Linked DNA regions of Rattus norvegicus. The protein of the gene in region 1 interacts with the protein of each later gene in a biochemical or structural test. Links are inferred from orthologs where the notes say so. Each region holds a gene or a part of one and is shown on either strand. Other genes may lie near its edges.

What was found. The genes of interacting proteins can lie anywhere in the genome.
Region 2: the proteins of Cfh (region 1) and Ptx3 form a complex in vitro, tested with the Homo sapiens proteins (3 studies listed by IntAct, with this or other methods). The link is inferred for Rattus norvegicus from reciprocal best matches to the Homo sapiens genes CFH and PTX3.

The regions. Positions count from the first base shown.
Region 1 is NC_086031.1:54,161,302-54,166,032, forward strand, and holds the start of Cfh (complement factor H precursor), read right to left. Parts: upstream 3,223-4,731; 5' UTR 3,174-3,222; coding exon 3,116-3,173; intron 1-3,115. UniProt on the Homo sapiens protein: Glycoprotein that plays an essential role in maintaining a well-balanced immune response by modulating complement activation.
Region 2 is NC_086020.1:152,796,206-152,800,863, forward strand, and holds the start of Ptx3 (pentraxin-related protein PTX3 precursor), read left to right. Parts: upstream 1-1,357; 5' UTR 1,358-1,517; coding exon 1,518-1,647; intron 1,648-2,073; coding exon 2,074-2,475; intron 2,476-4,658.

The sequences.
Region 1 (4,731 bases):
AACTAAGTTTGAAAAAATCATATACTTAAAACATTATAGAATTAAACCAATTCTCCATTCTATGATTAAAGTCTCTAAGCCTGAAAGGACCTTTTTGTCCTTTAAACCTCCAGGATTAGAAAACACTTATCTCCCCAGAAAGCACGCAGTGGTTATTTGGTTTTGTTTCAGCACAGGTTTAATTGGTTCATTTCAGCAATCCTGGGCTGCGGCCTAATTTCATACAATATTCAATTGTGAGAGTAAAATGCTTGGAAAGCTTGGGTATAATCCATTCCCCAGAACTGAAATTATACGGCTCAACCAAGGAACTCTCTTATGTTACAGGTTGTCCTGTAAATCTGACCCAATTCTGATCAGCGTGTGGTTTTGCAGGAAGCACCATTGACTGTTCTTGGCAGCTAGAAGTGTGAATACAGTCAAGCACTGCACTAAAAAGATATGAGAAAGCCCTTGGCAAGTAGAAAAGGGGAAAAGGAGAGGGGGGGGACAGAGAGAGAGAGAGAGAGAGAGAGAGAGAGGGAGGGAGGGAGGGAGGGAGGGAGACAGAGAGAGAGAGAGAGAGAGAGAGAGAGGGAGGGAGGGAGGGAGGGAGACAGAGAGAGAGAGAGAGAGAGAGAGAGAGAGAGAGAGAGAGAGGGAGGGAGGGAGGGAGACAGAGAGAGAGAGAGAGAGAGAGAGAGAGAGAGAGGGGCACGGAGGGAGGGAGGCAAACAAGCTGGGTTCATAGTTCTTCTTTTGGTTATTATTCTTTAATTATTAATAGTGGAGTTTAAATTTTTTGTTATGGTTATTATTTTCTTTTAATTTGAGTGGGTGTAACATACAGTTGCCATGCCTGTATGAGGAAACTGGAGGACAGTCTGTAGGAGGCTTTTTTTCCCCCTTTCACCAGGTGGGGCCCATGAATTGAACTCAAGTAGCCAGGTTCTTTGCCAAGCAAGATCATTATTGTGTTTACCGTTCCTGCTGGCCCAGCTAACATTGGTTTTAGATGAATGTTGATCTTTATCAGGGCAGAAAATACTTATGAAATCTTTTCTTCCCTGTTTCAGAAAGCCTAATATGAGAGCATTTCACAAACTTTTTTTTTTTAAATCAGCTTAGTAGCCAGCATCTAATAGAATAGAAACAGGAGCAAACATTGCAGCATATACATAATTGTTTTAATTGATCCAAGCTCTTCTGCTGAAATTCCTCTTAAGTTGATAGACTGATTAAATTGTTTACATTTGAGATAGACACGGGTCACCAGCCAAGCTAAGACTAAAGTGGGAGTACTGTGTCCACTGAAAATCCATGAAACTTCTCCCATCTGTTTACATTCATTTTGTGGAGACCATGAGGTTACCCTACATAATGATTTAGAAACTAAACTCTCTTTTCATCTGTGAATGAAAGGAAAATCCCTGTGAAACAGTATCGGACACAGTGTAACTGCCCACCTCATCAGCAAGAACTGGCACCACATTTGAATACATACTGATGAAAATTCAAATCCAGCAATAACAAAAAAATCAGCTGACATCCATGGCATAAATGAGGATTTTTAAATCATTAGCGTTAAAGTATCACGCAAACATCGCGGCACTTCCTTTTTAATATTGAAATTCTGCTTTGTAATTGTGTAGACACCTTAATTCGATTTATATCAATTAAGACTTAAAAGTTAGCTAAACATAAAATAGTTCTTTCTTTAATCTTATATATCTTTAAAAACCTCTTAGTAAACATTATTATTCAAGTAGAACACTAAAATAAGCGATGAAAACATTGCCTTTAACAAAATAAAAAGTTTAGTTATGCTTGGTAATATCAACATTGCTTTAGAATTCCTGGCCAATATAATCACATTTCATTTCAGCAATACTTATATTTTCATATACAAGGAAATGACTGCCTTAGTCTATAAGGCATCTGAATACAAGACTCTTAAGCTAAAATTCAAGGAATAACATTAAAAAATATAATTGAAAATGTTTACTCTTTCAAAAAGTATAAAATACCCTTAAATTTTTTTTTCAGAATTTTAGTAAAAGATACAACTGAGAAACCATATCTACTCTTCTTATGTGGGTTGGTAAACATCCAGTCAGAGGATAATTTTAGTATTCTTTACTGAGTAGTGGTTACAGCAAAGCTTCAAATTACAATGCATTGGCTAAGAGAAACATTTAAGGAAGTTATTAAAGTTATGTCATTCACTTTATATAAAAAGTGCTAAGTCAGGCATGGCAGTCACTCTCACTGGTAACCTCAGCCCATAGGAAGCTGCTGACAAGAGGACTACAGTGAGCTCAAGGGTGTAGTGACACCCTATCTTAAACAATCAAAACACAAAGAAGAGTTGATTAAATGTTTATCCCACAACTAGGTACCCTTCCTAAACTGGGAAAGCAAAGCTCTTTCATTGGATAAACTAAGCAGTCTTGGGAGAATTTAAGTGAATAATAAAGTCAGACCCTGTTATTGTCATGAAAGAACTCCGACAGTCACATTACCTACTTCAAAATGGCTTCAGAAACAAACATGCCCCACACGTATTCACAGAAAACAAAACCAGAAACAAATCAGATCCGTCCAATGCAGGTTACATGTCAAATTTTATTTTCTTTTTATCTCATACTTGAAGGTCTTACATACGAAACTTTTAAAACCATGGAAATATCAGCTAAGTGATGTAGTTAGGAAGGTTTAGAAATAAGCCTGAAATCGATCCACCCATTTAAAGAAAAAAGTAAGTGCTTTCATTGACTTTGGATATTTATATATTTCTAACTAGTTTTACATATAGTACTTCAGGGACACTCATGAGAAAAAGAGGAGCCTGTATTTCCTGATAACTACAAGTTAAATGTCTATGCCTAATTATGGATTGCAAAAACATGTTTAAAGCACTGTCTTGAGTTTTACATCAAGCTGAACTATCAATTACAATAGTCAAGTGAAAGGTTCACGGTTTTTAAACTTACCACCAAAAGCCATTCAGTTACAGACTAGTAATTACCCACATTTTCTAGACTTAATTTGAATAATTGCTATGAGAAATATTATCAGCAAATGTTTTATAATGCGGCTCAGTCAGAAGGGAGAAAGGTGGTGGTTTTAAGCTTACCTTCTGCTACACAAACAGTCCATAATATAAGCCAAATAATTCTTGCTGACAGTCTCATGTCTTGGATCTATCTGGGAGCAGTTGACTCGAAGAGAAGTATGTGCTGTACCATCCAGTTCCTCTCTGCTATGAACTGTGGTTACAGCAGAGACAGACTTGCCCCAAAGGGAAGTTGAAAGTTAGTTTAGGAAATCAGGATTTCTAGATGCTCCACCCATGAGCGACTTCTGCAAAGTAAACTAAAAGGATAGACCACAAGTCCAGCAGCATAGGCGTTTGATCTCATCTGTTACTGCGCCCTGTCTGTGACCTGCTGGGCTGTTCTTGTAAATCACAGCTTGTTTTGCTTGGAAACAAGTTCACGTTTCTGGAAATGTGAGCAGGGGCTGGATTTCATAATCCTTGAAACTGTGTTCTACTGTGTACAAACCACAGAACAGAAAGCAATGAAGGCGAATTTAAAAACCATTGAGGGAACTTCCGTTAGGCAGTGTTTTTACGACCAACACCCTGCATAGTACAGAAATGTTGTCAAGACTGTCATGCTGAGGGATGGTGATTATGGGATTGGTTTTTCTAAAATTCATGAAATGAGTCTCCCAAGAAATTCTTTTTATATGTGTGAGGCAACTGGTCTGTGTCTCGTTGGCTATGAATGAATAACTCAAAAGATCCATCAATTTGACATGCTAATTTTCTAGCTTCTAGTTACGGTATTGTATAATAAGAAAGCAGAGGTGTGAAAAAGTGTCTGTAATATGCTGAATTGATGTTGAACCCAGGCCAATACTCAACTCCCAACTTGCTAGCCTTGGTAACCCCTCTGTGCCCTCCAGATTTCCACCTACTGTCAGTGTCTCCAAGAACATGGACCTTATATACCTGAACTTTGTGTAAGTGTGGAGGAAGCAATTTACTCCTTTGTTTATGTAGAGTCCTTCACTGAGAACTTCATCTGCTGGAGATGACTCCATATTGTTCATTTTTCTTTCTATGTAATATTCAATAGTTTGAATACATACAGCACAATTTTTAGTTATTCATGTGCATGTTAATGACAGATTCCAGCTAGAAAATAGTACAAGTAGGACCACTAATGTGATACAGTGTAGGGTTTGCTAACTGCTCTAGCTCAAGCATATAGATAAATTAGCTGAGAACAGAGCATTTAAGCATTTTCTTAAGTCCATAAGAACTTTCAGGAGTGAGATACTCAACCCAATGGTCTAATATCCCAAATCTATGCAGATTGGCATTTTCTGATGACTTGCTTCCTATTTTGTTAAATGTGTAGGAATTCAACTTCTAATAACTCATTGTAGTAGTTGCTTGTCAGTGGATGTGACAAGATACCTGAGAAAGCAGTTAAGGGAAGGAAAGATTTATTTCTGCTCACAGTTCCCAGAGAGAGCCTGTCAATCAGGGAAGAACAGCCCCAGGAACGTCTGGGCACATGGCAACACCAGTCCTGCTACGGAAAGCAATGATGAATGTTGCAAGGTTCACTCTGTTTTTTCTTCAGTCTAGGACCCCTCCACATGGAAGACATTAATATCAGAACAATTTACAAACCCTCACTTCAGAGTGCTTAATATTAATCATGTCACAAGAGCTTA
Region 2 (4,658 bases), on another chromosome or scaffold:
GGCCAGGGATTCCCAGGGGCCCTCTCTTTAGTACTGGCATTAGGACCCTACATCACCACATCAGGGTTTTTAGTGTGGACTCTAGAAATCGAACTTGAGTCCACAGTCTTCAGAGAGAAATACTTTACTAAGCTATGGCTCCTGACTGCCCTTTAAACAGTATCCTATTGTCTCACAGGACCATCTCTTTCTGTGAGGCCTTAATGATTTTAAAACATACTCATTTTAAGCTGCTATTTCAAATAAGTTAAGCTCTTGAGCAGGGGCCTAATGCTGTTTTACTTTCTGTTGATTCTTATTCATGATGCCCTATTCTGAGATCAATGTCTAGCTATGTGTAACTATGGATTCATTTTTTACTGTGGTGAATGGTACATGCATGTGTGGTCCAGGTGCTTGAGGGCACTCAGTCACTTGTGATTCTCTGTGCAGGGTCAGAGAGAGGAGTTTACCTATGGAAATCCAAAAGGCAGCCTTCTGAGAGACCTGACATGAGGGTAGTCTCCCCCTCATGATCAGACTGTGACTGATAACCCTTCCCCTCCATCTCTTTTGTGTATTGGGGACTTGAATCAACTCAGGAGCTGACCCTCTGGGAGTGGTAATCTCTAGATCTTTGGCCACTGTGTAGTTTTCTTGTTTTATTTGGAGTTCATTTAAATGTTTTACTTTTTATCACTATTATTATGACCTATCAACGTCTATTCAGGTACTTTGCATGTGGTGGGGGCAGATTTTCAGTGCTTGTTCAGACACACACACACACACACACACACACACACCAGGAGTCACTAATTTAAATTTAAAACAGGAACTTGAGAGGTACTCAAGCTCCTCAAGGGAGGTACTCCCGCCCTCCCTTTCCTGTTTTATTGGGTTTTTACCCAGTTGTACTGTGTTTATTAGTTGCCACTCCAGAGGAGTAAAGACAAGTTAGTCAATCAGGATGCATTTGACTTCTAGAGTCATATAAGTTCTTAATGGGCTGGGTTATTTTGGAGTCAGAATCATTTTCTATAGATTGGACTTGAGAAAGTATCCAAAAAAAAAAAGGTTAAAAAAAAGTTTTCTGTAACTTCAGGGGTTGTGGAATAATGAAAGCTCACACCAAGTGCCAAAATGATAATTTGCCCCACATCTCTGTGTTGCCCACCCCCCAAAGCGCTAGCACTTCAGGTTACAGCAACTAATCCTCAGGGGCACCAGAAAAGTCCAGCTTCCCTCCTCTTCTCCCCCTGGCCTGCCTCTAATTAATCTGCCTGCAGCGTGGACCTTGGTGGTTTAACATTGTGCAACCTCTTCAGCTCCCTTGCCCTCCCACCCAACCCCCTCCCCCAAATCCAGGGGAACTCCCTCGCGCTGTGCCACCGACATTACTCATTCATCCCGTTCAGGCTTTGGAGCGTTTATTAAGGGCTTCGCTCCTGCCTTGCTCTATCTCTCCCGGGCTCTCGGATCACTAGAGAACCTCGCTTCTTTCCCTGTGGCGGCTGCGAGCAAACTTCGCCTCTCCAGCAATGCATCTCCCTGTGATTCTGCTTTGTGCTCTCTGGTCTGCAGTGTTGGCTGAGACCTCCTATGACTATGAGCTCATGCATGTGAATTTGGACAACGAAATAGACAATGGACTTCATCCCACCGAGGACCGTAAGTTCATTTTAACTTTCTCAGCTTACCAAAACTACATAACTCACTTGGGGGGGGGTTAATTAACATAATTAACATAAGTAGCCAATGAAGCAAGCTAAAATTGTACTTTATTTGTAAAAACAAGGACTGCCCGAGAAAAGCCAGAGGCTTTAAATTATTTTTCTAACACTTACAATGAGTTAAGCTATGCAAAATCACGGCTCTTTAACTGTTTTTAGCTACATAAATGGCATTTCCCCAGTTAGCTTAACATGTCTTAGAAAGAATGGTCCTATGTCATCTTTGAGAAGTTTACAACGCTGTTTTCACAGCTATCCTTAGAAGGAGAGGGGTTGCTGGGGACAGGCTTAAACTTGGGGTCACCAAAAGTGCAGCTCACTGCCAGCCGGGACAGGCTGGTAATGTGTGTGTCCTGCGATCTAGCCACACCATGCGACTGCCGCCAGGAACACTCGGAGTGGGACAAGCTGTTCATCATGCTGGAGAACTCGCAGATGCGGGAGGCCATGCTGTTACAGGCCACTGACGACGTCCTCCGCGGGGAGTTGCAGAGGCTGCGGGCGGAACTGGGGCGGCTGGCGGGCGGTATGGCGAGGCCTTGCTCAGCCAGTGGCCCGGCAGACGCCAGGCTGGCACAGGCGCTGGAGCCGCTGCTGCAGGAGAGCCGCGACGCGAACCGCAGGCTGGCACGCCTGGAAGATGCAGAGGCGCGGCGACACGAGGCGACAGTGCCTAGCCTAGGAGCGGTGCTGGAGGAACTGCAGCGGACGCGCGCCGACCTGAGCGCCATGCAGAGCTGGGTCGCTCGCCACTGGCTACCCGCAGGTAAGCACCCGGCGTAGAGCCCACGGTCGGAGGGGGACTCAGAACCCGGCTACTTTTCATAGGCACACTCACAGAGCTCAGACACATCACGCCAGACAAGCTCATTGCCTTGTTAAAAGCCTCAGGAACCCAAAAGAAAATGGGATTTAACCATCGGTCTGGAAGTAGATATCAGAGATCCCTGACACTGGATCCGACCAGATAGTACAGGAGTCCATTGGCAGGTGTTTAACGGTGATCCTTCTTGCTGCCCCGAGTCCCTCCGTTAGGGATTTCCACGTCTTCTAATTTTATTCTGTCACTCTCTTTAGCTCAGCTCTGGTTTCCCCGGCACTATTTCAGGGCCTGGACTAACTTCAGCGACTTTCCCAGCCCCTTAGCCGACTCCTCCCCCTCTACTCCTTCTGAGCTGACTGGAGCCTAATTGGATCTCCTGCAAACTCAGCAGAACTCCAGGACTCCCTCATCCCAGTTGAGTTCAACAGTGATGGTCAAGGGGTGCAGGCTCTGGGGCATGTCCTATAAAGTCAGGCGCAGGAGTCAGAGGATGTAGATGCCTGCATCTTGTGTCCCGGGGGTGGGGCACACAAGAAAGGGATTATTTAAGCTGTGCAACTTGTCAAAACCCCACATAAAGCCCATAAAATGGCACACTCTTAAAAGTTAACGAAACAGGAAGAACATTGGAGCCTAGTAATATGGTTCTTAAGTTAAATTTCTGATGGGGGCAGTGATGTTTTGTTGTAGATTTTTCTAGAAAATTAGTGTCCTATGTTGACAAATATCCCTGGCACGTCTCTTGAGTCTCAGAAACAATGACAAACAATAGCATCTCATACTGTATCTCCAATCAGATGGAGCTTATCGGATGGGGTGGGAAGTAGGAGACCCCAGAGCATGGCCCATTCCTTTACAGAAACAACTACGCTACGATCAGTCCTTCCTAACTATTTGAAGGATGGAGGCCATGCCCTTAAATCCTAAATAAATCTTCAGAGAAAAGCTATAAAGTCGAATCTAAAGCAAACCCTCACTGTGATCATTTTGTGATAATTTTAAAGGCATGGATTTTTTTGTTTTGCAAACTCAGTAGAGTCATGAACATATAATGTGCCCCTCAAAGGAAGGATTACTTTGTATCCTCACCTGTTAGTTAGAAAATATATACATTCCCGAATTCTAAACTGTTGGTGCTTATTACCCAGTAATACTTCCCCCTGCAGGCTGTAATTGTCCTCTCTCTCCTGCCAGCCTGGCCCCCAGAGGATTCCTAATCATGTTGTGGTCGGCCTCCTAAGAACCTAGTTTTCATTTTGCTTAGTCTTTGATAATATAATTACAAAGAGTTATTAGTTAAAAACCATTTCATGAGAGAATTTCTGACATTTCAAAGCGGTCTCAAGGGACTCGATCACTGCTCTGCAAAAGAATCCCACAAAATCTGCTAACATACTACTTTACAGCATGAACCCAAATAGCTGCCATGGCCTCCAGAGATGCTGGGTCTCCCAGACACAGTCACGGGCCACCCGGGAGTGTAATCAGCACTGCCTGGCCTATTTAAACAGGAAGACAGTTAATTAGGTTTAGTGAATGTTCCGTTGGACAGTTCTTTAAACTTACAGAGGCCAGGAGATTCTAAATGCACACAAATGGCAGTCTTTTGTCCCCACAATCATTTGATTTAATTGTTGTAGCTAGAAAAAGAATCTTATCTTGAATATGCCTCATTTAAATTTTTCATGAATGATTAGAAATTTTTAAGAGTTCTGCTATTATTTGGGGGCATTGCTGCCATGATTGCTCTTATGCTATTTCCCTATATATCAATATTTCTTTGACTATTAATAAAAGAGATAGTTTATGTTTGTTTGACATTTTTTTGGACTGACCCTAGCTCAGAGCCACTTGTGGGAATTTACTTTATAGGACATTTGGTGTCCACACGTTCTACTGAGTCACCATTTAGTCCTTAAATGCTCCGGGAGTGACTTTTCAAAGCCGCCATATAGCATCTCCTTGGGCTATTATAAAGGGAACATCTAGCCCACCTTAGTTCTCTTCAGATACAGCAAGAAGCAGAGCCCATCTGTTCAAGGCCTTCGCCTTGGTATCTTAGTTGCTGCTGCAGGCTTGAGATAGCAGCGGTGGAGTAGATGAGGCTCGCGTGCATGTTCAAAGCC